Saccharomyces cerevisiae S288C: one gene and its partner. The protein of the gene in region 2 purifies or fractionates together with the protein of the main gene of each other region. This does not show direct contact. Each region holds a gene or a part of one and is shown on either strand. Other genes may lie near its edges.

Evidence for each region.
Region 1: the proteins of ALY2 (region 2) and APL1 purify together in Saccharomyces cerevisiae (affinity purification with western blotting; 2 studies listed by BioGRID, with this or other methods). This does not show direct contact.

What each region holds. Positions count from the first base shown.
Region 1 is NC_001142.9:444,178-448,841, reverse strand, and holds APL1 (Apl1p), read right to left. Parts: upstream 2,920-4,664; coding exon 817-2,919; downstream 1-816. Other genes in the region: LSO1 (Lso1p), read left to right, coding at 84-365; SAG1 (Sag1p), read left to right, coding at 3,981-4,664. UniProt on the Saccharomyces cerevisiae protein: Adaptins are components of the adaptor complexes which link clathrin to receptors in coated vesicles. Clathrin-associated protein complexes are believed to interact with the cytoplasmic tails of membrane proteins, leading to their selection and concentration.
Region 2 is NC_001142.9:274,362-280,026, forward strand, and holds ALY2 (Aly2p), read right to left. Parts: upstream 3,642-5,665; coding exon 501-3,641; downstream 1-500. Other genes in the region: GTP-Rho binding exocyst subunit EXO70, read left to right, coding at 1-337; TAX4 (Tax4p), read left to right, coding at 4,480-5,665. UniProt on the Saccharomyces cerevisiae protein: May regulate endocytosis by recruiting RSP5 ubiquitin ligase activity to specific plasma membrane proteins in response to extracellular stimuli.

The DNA of each region.
Region 1 (4,664 bases), 170 kb from region 2:
AGTCGTATTATTAACCGCCTTTTGGAAGTTTGCTAACCGCATAGTTGTCATTAGAAACCACCAAACATAGTGAAGAAGCGAACATGCATAATACTGGCAAGAGATACTCAGAAACTGCCAAAAAAGTGGCAGCAGGAAGAGCAAGAAAACGTAGGCAAGCTTACGAAAAGGACCAACTAGAGAAACAACAACTAGAAGCTCAAGAAGCTCAGAGGTGGGAAGAAGGTGCGAGAACCCCTAACCAGAAGAAGCTGATTATGGAACAAAAAAAGACAGAGAAGCTAAGAGCCAAAAAGGAAAGAGACCAATTACTAGCCGCCGAAGAGGAAGCTTTAGGTAAGGGAGGCAGGGGAAAAAGATACTGAAATGACGGAAAACGAGAATATGGAGCAGAGAGCAACTTTTAGAGCTTTACCCGTTAAAAGGTCAAATCGAGGCTTCCTGCCTTTGTCTGATTTTAGTAGTACCGGAAGGTTTATTACGCCCAAGAACAGTGCTTGAATTGAGTTCTCGGGACACGGGAAAGACAATGGAAGAAAAATTTACATTCAGTAGCCTTATATATGAAATGCTGCCAAGCCACGTCTTTATAAGTAGATAATGTCCCATGAGCTGAACTATGGGAATTTATGACGCAGTTCATTGTATATATATTACATTAACTCTTTAGTTTAACATCTGAATTGTTTTATAAAATAACTTTTTGAATTTTTTTATGATCGCTTAGTTAAGTCTATTATATCAGGTTTTTTCATTCATCATAATTGTTCGTTAAATATGAGTATATTTAAATACAGGAATTAGTATCATTTGCAGTCACGAAAAGGGCCGTTTCATAGAGAGTTTTCTTAATAAAGTTGAGGGTTTCCGTGATAGTTTTGAGGGGTTGTTTGAACTAGATTTACGCTTACCTTTCAACTGATTAATTTTTTCAGCGGGCTTATCATAATCATCCATCATAGCAGTCTTTCTGGACTTCGTCGAGGACTGGCTTTCTGAATTTTGACGGTCCCTATTAGCTCCAGTTGGAGGAAATGAGTTACCTACAACTGGCAAGAGGTCTTTGTTTGGATTCAAAATAGGACTTTGTGGTAGCAGTTTGGTTTTATTCAATCTAAAGATATGAGAAACAGGTTTTAAGTAAATCGATACTATTGTACCAATGTTTAGCTCCAATTCCTCCAAAACGGTGGGATCTAATTTCGTGTTCATTTCTATTAGTGGCAACTCTCCGTCCAGTACTGATTTTAAAGATTCAAAAGTTATCGCGTTTGATATACGAGACGTTTTCGTTAATGACAGCAATCTCCAATACATCAGTGTTTTATCTCTTAAGTCAGGATTATTTTCGTGATCGATGCATCCTTTTAATAAATCCATACAAAGTTCTTCAGTTTCCTTTGTAGGACTTCTGATGAAGAATTTTATTGCTGAGTTCAGAATGGAAAATTGCACTTCTAGCGTCTCACTAAACATGTTTGAGGAAAAAACTCTAAATAACTCCAGGTAGTTTGGAATTACATCCGAATATTGCGTTATTATCCAGATCATAGCGTTTTTTGATTCAGGTTCCTGTACAACTTCAGTGTGTTTGACTAGTTCTGTTACGTTTGCTTTAAAATTATTGGGATATTTCCTCAAAATATTTCTGAAAACCGAAATAATCTCCTGGACGACATAATCAACACCGAATTCTAACAAATCTAGTAGAACAGCGACACAATCGTGTACAGAGTCTTCATCTAGCTTAACAGCCAGATTACCAATGGCTCTGACTGATTTCCTTGACATTTGAATATCAATATCTGTAGCATATTGTTCCAACTCTTCTAGAATTCTTGGTAATGTTTCCTTGTTAGCTAAAAGATATAAACACTCTAATTTCGTGTCTTTGATGTATATGGGGTCATTGTACTCGATGAAAAAATACGAAATGTCTAGCCTGAGTAGAGATGACTCCCTACTCAATAAAAGAAGAATAACGTTTCTTAATACTAAAAATTGTAATTCAGGCGGCTTATCTAACAAAGCTATTACAGAGTTAGATAGCTTTTCGGCTAGAGTTTCTTTGATGACGTCAACATAATTCAACAAGTACATGATGAATTTTAAAGAGTTCAACACTACGTATGTGTTTACTTGTTGCAGGTACGGTAAAGCTAGTTCGATCATTTCATGGGTATCCAAATAATGCTGCGGCACAACCGAAGTCGTCAAAACTTCCAAAACAGTAGCCTTATTCCACTCATTTAATTCGGGTAAAAGCTCTAGCATGTCAAAAGCGAGTTCCAAGGGAATCCTGAAGGGTTCCATGTTAGCGTTTTTTTCGTGAATGGAATATAAAGTATGTAATGCAGCTACAATGACTTCTGGAGAGCTCGACTGTGCTTTTACAATGTCATGTAGAATGCTTGATAACCCCAATACCCTTTCATGATCAATTTCATCTAAATCCAACAGTGCGTAAATTGCTGTCCTCGTCACTTGTTCAGGTGGAGACTTGTGATTTACCAATGAAATGATACAGTCGAAGGCCTGATCAGATAGCTCTTTCACCGGGACTAATACCAGAGTTCTTAGTGCCATTATTTGTAACTTTTCATCTCTGCTTTTGAAATCGTCCATTATAAATGGCAAAGCCTCTCTGGCCTGCTGAGGTTTTAATGCGCCGATCACCCTAATATACTCATGGCAAATTCTTTTCACTTCTAGATCATCTTCAATTTGCCAAAATTTCAAGAGCTCAGAAAACAGAACGGACATTTCGCCATAGTTTCCTAGAACCAAATTGGCGATAATTTTTCTCAGAGCATTTTTCCTTCTTGTTATATTCGATTTAAACTTTTTTACTCCAAAATGTTGCAGATCTGTGACGATTTCATTTGCTTTATATCTGGCAAAAACTTTTTGATCGGACATAAGCGAAATACGTCCTATTAATGAAGTGAATGTTCTTGCTGTATTCCCTTCTTGTGCAGTAGATTAATTCTGTTTCCAGGCTGCGATACTTTGATACCCAATACTAAAAGTTGATGATTTGAACGATCTCCTATTTCCTCGCACATTTTTGGAGCGATACCCGGAAGACAGAATCGCGATGTTAAGAAAATAGTTCTGATGGCACTAAAGAGATCATGATTAAGGAAAGGTAAGTGATATGCATGAATGGGAATAGGCTTTCGAACTTGACGATTTAGTTCCTTATTTCTATCCATCTAATCCTCCAACTTCAATAGGCCTTATCTAGCTCAGAGCAGTATTTAATTGAGAATAGTAGCTTAATTGAAACCTTACTAAAAAAGTGTATGGTTACATAAGATAAGGCGTTAAGAAGAGTATACATATGCATTATTCATTACCAAGACCACTATGAATAGTAATACCATATTTAGCTTTTGAAACTCATGTTTTCTATTGTGTTGTTTCAAATTCCTCTGTTAGGCTCAATTTAGGTTAATTAAATTATAAAAAAATATAAAAAATAAAGAAAGTTTATCCATCGTCACCTCAATTCAATGGAGTAAACAGTTTCAACACTGAGTGGTGAAACATTGAACAACTACATGCAGTTTCCCGCCACGAGGCAAGTGTAGGTCCTTTGTCCATTTCGCTTTGTTTTGCAGGTCATTGATGACCTAATTAGGAAGGTAGAAGCCGCTCCAGCTCGATAAGGAAATGCTAAGGGTACTCGCCTTTGGTGTTTTACCATACAATGGCAGCTTTATGTCACTTCATTCTTCAGTAACGGCGCTTAAATATTCCCAAAAACGTTACAATGGAATTGTTTGATCATGTAACGAAATGCAATCTTCTAAAAAAAAAGCCATGTGAATCAAAAAAAGATTCCTTTTAGCATACTATAAATATGCGAAATGCCCTCTATTTATTCTAGTAATCGTCCATTCTCATATCTTCCTTATATCAGTCGCCTCGCTTAATATAGTCAGCACAAAAGGAACAACAATTCGCCAGTTTTCAAAATGTTCACTTTTCTCAAAATTATTCTGTGGCTTTTTTCCTTGGCATTGGCCTCTGCTATAAATATCAACGATATCACATTTTCCAATTTAGAAATTACTCCACTGACTGCAAATAAACAACCTGATCAAGGTTGGACTGCCACTTTTGATTTTAGTATTGCAGATGCGTCTTCCATTAGGGAGGGCGATGAATTCACATTATCAATGCCACATGTTTATAGGATTAAGCTATTAAACTCATCGCAAACAGCTACTATTTCCTTAGCGGATGGTACTGAGGCTTTCAAATGCTATGTTTCGCAACAGGCTGCATACTTGTATGAAAATACTACTTTCACATGTACTGCTCAAAATGACCTGTCCTCCTATAATACGATTGATGGATCCATAACATTTTCGCTAAATTTTAGTGATGGTGGTTCCAGCTATGAATATGAGTTAGAAAACGCTAAGTTTTTCAAATCTGGGCCAATGCTTGTTAAACTTGGTAATCAAATGTCAGATGTGGTGAATTTCGATCCTGCTGCTTTTACAGAGAATGTTTTTCACTCTGGGCGTTCAACTGGTTACGGTTCTTTTGAAAGTTATCATTTGGGTATGTATTGTCCAAACGGATATTTCCTGGGTGGTACTGAGAAGATTGATTACGACAGTTCCAATAACAATGTCGATTTGGATTGTTCT
Region 2 (5,665 bases):
TAGTTATATGGTATCAGATTGGAGAGATTTAACTGCAAATTTGATGGATTCTGTGTTTATTGATAGTAGCGGGAAGAAGTCAAAAGACAAAGAACAAATAAAGGAGAAATTTAGAAAATTCAATGAAGGATTCGAAGATTTAGTATCAAAAACAAAACAGTATAAGCTTTCAGATCCATCATTGAAAGTAACTTTGAAGTCAGAAATAATATCGTTGGTTATGCCCATGTATGAAAGATTCTACAGTAGATATAAAGACTCTTTCAAGAATCCTAGAAAGCATATCAAATATACCCCTGACGAACTAACTACTGTTCTTAACCAATTAGTGAGATAGATTGCGAACATCACTTTTCAAAAAGCAAAATTAAAGAAAAGAACGTACCATAAACAGATATAAACATATATATGTATAACAATTAGAGTTTCTAATATTTTATGTTTGCTCTGGACGCCAGATGTAAGAACAGGAAGGGATGACGTAGGAACCTTGTGCTAGACTAAAGGGTACTCTCATTTATACTTTGTAATCCAGATTCATTATCTAACGTATTAATCAGTACTTTCTCGGGTGAAGAAAGTCTTGAAATAAATCTTTCCTCGGAATCAGAATTCTTAGAGCTTTCCGTTAATCCTGAGCCCTGTGTGAAAATGTCATTATTATGATCTGATTCGGCAGAATTTTGTGCATTAGCTGCATTCAAGAAATTCTCGTTACTTCCCAAAAGTGGAGAAAACTGATTGTTATCGTTATCGTTTTGTAAAGGATGCCAAGCAGAGGAATTTCTAGCGTACGGCGCAGTGATATCAATCGTAGTATCTACTGAGGGTTCAAGTAGATCAACGTATGAATCATTAGGCCTTAAAAAGGAGTCTTCATTAACTTTATTAGTCAACGTTTCCGTTTTACTCAGTAATGGTTCCATGTTCAACTTGTCCTTGCTTATATTAATTCCTGAATAGTCAAAAGAGGATCTAGCTGAGGCGGGGGTGCTCGAAGTATTTGTAGAATGTCGATTTAGTTCATTTTTATCATGATTTTTAAGTTCGTCTTCTATTAAAACTTGATTTAAATCTGTGAAAAAAGGATTATCGTGTCTTATTGTGGACGGTAAATTATCTTGAACACTTTCCCTTCTATTCAATGATCTTAATGATTCATTGCTCAGATTTCCTAAAGCTGAATGCGCAAATCCGCTATTATTTGGTGAGCTATGTAATGAAGACGATAGGCTTAATACTCTTTTTCTGTTCTTTTCGTTACTTTGATTCCCAGTGGATGTCGAGTCTTTGCTTTCCTCGCGTTGTGGGGTTGATAAACTTTTCACGTCCCTATTTTCTCTCTTTTTAGGAGTTGTCTCTCTTTTGTGTTTATTTTCTTCTATCTTTGACATCGATTCTTTTTTATTCAAAGTTTCTGAAGAATTCTTATCCGAATTTTTATTTGGATGGGAAGCTTTTAAACTTGGAGGCGTCGGATGTTTGGAATTAGGCCTCCTTTTTTGATTGTTGTCATGCAACACAGTATCCTTATAAGATGGTGGATCCCGTGGTAAGATGCTCGACTCTGATGAAGATACCTCAGTAGTAGTGGTTCCGGAAGCAGCATCAGATATGAAATCGGAAGAAAAGTCAAAATCTGGCGGAGGCACTTCCATATTTGACATTGGCGATGTTATTGGAGAGAGCGGGATTGCCTGGGGTGATGCTAATTCTCTTTGCAAACTCTCCGGTTGATATATGTTGGATTTCAACTTTGCAGAATTGAAGATGGTATTATCACTCGGATGGGATTTTGAGTTCCTATTGAATTGCCTAGAGTTTCTGGTCAATGAAGTGGAAGGTAAATGTGGGATTAAAATGTCTAATGGTTGGACATTGGGCGAAAGTACTGGAGACGAAAGGACTTCCTTGGGAAAGAAAATATTAGAGTTATGGTATAGATTTATATTGTCATCAGACGATTCCAATATTGAGGAAATTGAGGAATCTGTTTCTTTTGGAAAAGAAGCAGGATGTCCATCATAGCTCGGTAAAAGGGTATTTGCATGCGAGCACAATCTATGTAAAACATGTATTGGCGAGTCAATACTAATTTCGTAATGTTTCCTTTTATTATCTACTACTCTAGACAGTCTCAGGCAAATTTTAATCCAATGGTTTGCTTTGATGTTTTCATAAGAAGTATCTGGATGCAATTGCTGATGGTTGTTGAAACGACTCGGAATAAAAATCTGGTACTCATACTCTTTATTCACTAAATCACCATTCTTTGGATCCTGCAACAGGTTCCCCATATTCTTGGCCTTTGACAAATTTGCATCATTGGGCAAGTTCGGTAATTTAGGACCTTTCTGTTCTGTCAATAAAAATTTCTTGGTGGGCTCCATCCTATGAACCTTCTTTTCTCTACAATAATACTCCATTGTCTCTGTCACATAAATTCTTATTCTATGCAACGTAACTTTATCGAGGGGAGCGAATTTGAACGTGATAGGCAGAAAAGCATCTAAAATAATATCCTTTGATGCTATAACGATATCATAATATAATTGGTTTTCCCAATCTCTAGATATGATAATCGGCTCACTTTCTTCCACAGAATTATGAGCCTGTGTCCGTACGATATTAACCACTTGCCGGGCGCTAATGTTTGATTTAAAGGCACCAGGTCTCTCTATACTGGCAAATAAGAAGTATTCCACAAATCCGAAATCAGCTTTAATAGATTCTGGGTATGCTTGAGGAATTAGTTCTTCGAAAGCATAAATATAGTCGCCTGGTTGAAAGACAAAAAATTCTCCTCCAGACCCGCTGGTGAAGTTGTTGCTTGTCATTGCCAGATGATTGCTACTGGTGGGGATATGATGACCATGATGCGATGCTGCATCATTATGGGTAAAGGTGTTATTCAACAAGTCGGAAAAGATGGAAGTGGTCGTAGGTTTATAGTTGTGGTGAGACACGGAAGGAGACGTGGCTCTCTTCAATAAATTTATCGGGGATAGGTTTCTTGATGGTCCATTGGAAGAAGTGACTGACGAAGATCTAGATCTTTGTCTACTTTCTCTGTCTTTTACGTTGACAGAGGAATTTCCAGGTGCACCTAGAGGTGACAAGTTCAACGAGGACAAACCTGATATAGAATTTTTTCTGCTTGTTATAGTTTCATTATCAGACAGTGTTCTATAAAGAGAGGCACCACTTTCCTTCGTCAAAAAATTATTAGCTGCATTGTTGCTCTCATTAGGTGCGGAAGCATCCATCTTTTTCTTGCTCTTCTGTTCAGTTGGCGGATATAGAGCCCATGTATGGTCTACAATATCTTTGATTTCCACGAATTCTTGTCTTTTAGGAGGGATACCTTCAGGCCATTCAGTTCTAGAATATCCTTTGAACGAAAGACTTATGCTTTTCAGCTTTGTGGGTTTCAGTATTCTTACCACTAGACAGCCCCGAAGAACAACCGAGGGATATTCCGTCTTCTGAGGGTCAAAGCCTTGGAGGAAAACAACTGGTTCAGCTAAATGAATAAAAAGCTGTAATGATGAACTTTGTGCCAAGGGTGTAGCATCGAGGGGGATATCAATATCCTTTTCCATGGGAAACAATGGAGATGAGATAGATTGGTCCATGGGCATCTTGAAAAATGACTGATCTACAATGAGAAAGGCTGGAAAAAAAAAAAAGATGTTTCAACGTTAAAAAAATAAAGGACTAACGGTAATGAATAGCGAAGTCTACAGACTAATTTGCCCTTTTTAGTCTCTCTCAATACTCACAGACTGCTTGTAGCGTAATTAGTACCTATTCTTAAAAGACGAAAAGGAGAACTAGCCAAGTCTTTTTTTTTTCCCAAATTGGACCATATCGGATTAAATTTCTTTTTTCCGAAACTGCAAATCCTCCAGAGAATGTTTTAATAAAGGAAAACCAATGAAAGACATTTAGCAGAATAACAAAGCAAAAAGAAATGACAGTGAAGAGTGATAGGTGAAGGCGTTGAGAAATGAGAGTTGTTGCCATGGAGGAATGGGTACTGAACCCTCTCACAGAGGCGTCACTAATTTAAAAAAGGAAAAAGGTGTTATATGTATTGGGGAAAGGAGCGATGAATTTTTGGGTGATGAATGAAACAGTGGGATGAGATGAACTACAGCAATATGGTTTGGTCTTAACGGCTGTCATGACAAACTATTGATCAGGGCCAGTATTTGTATCATTATTGTTATAATTGAGAATGAAGAAAGGTTAGCCGCTGAGAGAACCTTCTTCAAATTATGTTTTTTTTGCTTTTTTTCTTTTTGGGACGGCGCGCGATAGATGGCGCAAGGGAGTTGCTCTCCGTTCGACATCAATAAATTGGTTATAAAGTGACGTATTTGGTTCCTTTTTAGTAATTGATGAAGAGTGCGGGATGGCCTATACAAGGAAGAGTCGATTTAGTGCCGGAGAATACACGCCCTGACGTTTGTATAAATGCATTTCCCCAAAAAAAAGCATTCCGGAAATCTCTCCGTGGTGGAATTGCCGAAGGAAGCTCTCCAAGATTCTTTAACTGCTGCTCAGATTACTTTCAAGAGATATGCCCACCCCAATGGCAATGCCGGTAGCGCAGAGAGGCCGAGACATCTAAAGGTGGAATCTGCGCCTGTCGTGAAATCTGAGCCTTCTTTGCCGAGGATGAGACAACCGGAACCGAGAAGTATAAATCATCAATACTCTAGGGAAACGCTTCCAGGCCATTCTGAAGCCTTTTCCGTACCGACGACTCCTCTGCAGACAATCCATTATGATGTAAGGAATAAAGCGTCAAATTCGCCAAGTAGTATAGCAGCTGCAGAGACAGCTGCATACCTAGCCCACACAAATTCATTTAGTAACAGATCATCCGGTGTCGGCAGCCGGGATCCAGTTATGGATACTGAAACAAAACCGCCACGTGCTCCTTCAGCCTTGAAAAATGAGCTGCAATTGAACAGAATGAGGATACCTCCGCCGTCATATGATAATAATGTTCGTTCACGATCTATTTCGCCACAAGTATCCTACTCTACCTCGCTGTCATCATCGTGTTCCATAAGTTCCGATGGAGAAGAAACTTCTTATAGAGAAAAAAGCACCGATGAGGCATTTCCTCCTGAACCTTCCATGTCTTCTTATAGTCTTGCGTCCAAAGCCTCAGCAAAGGCTTCTCTAACGGACCCCTCACAGCGGCAGCAAGAGTCAGACTATACGGCAATGAATAAACTCAATGGAGGAAATATAATATATAAAGGCACTTTACCCGACCTAATACCGCGAAGCCAAAGGAAGACAAGTAAACCCAGGTTCAAGCACAGGCTTTTACGATCACCTGAGCAGCAGCAAGAAAACTTATCACGTGTGTATTCGGACCAAACGCAGAATGGTAGGGCAATCATAAACACGCAGCAAAATGTAAAGTTAAAGACAACTATGAGGCGCGGGAAGTACGCAATTACAGACAATGATGAAACTTTTCCCTACGACAGAAAGTCTGTATCATCAGACTCAGACACAGATGAAGATTCTAATGTGATGGAAATCAAGGACAAGAAGAAGAAAAGTCGTCGCTCTAAGATAAAGAAGGGGTTGAAAACAACAGCAGCTGTAGTTGGGAGTAGTACCTCTGTCCTTCCGTTCC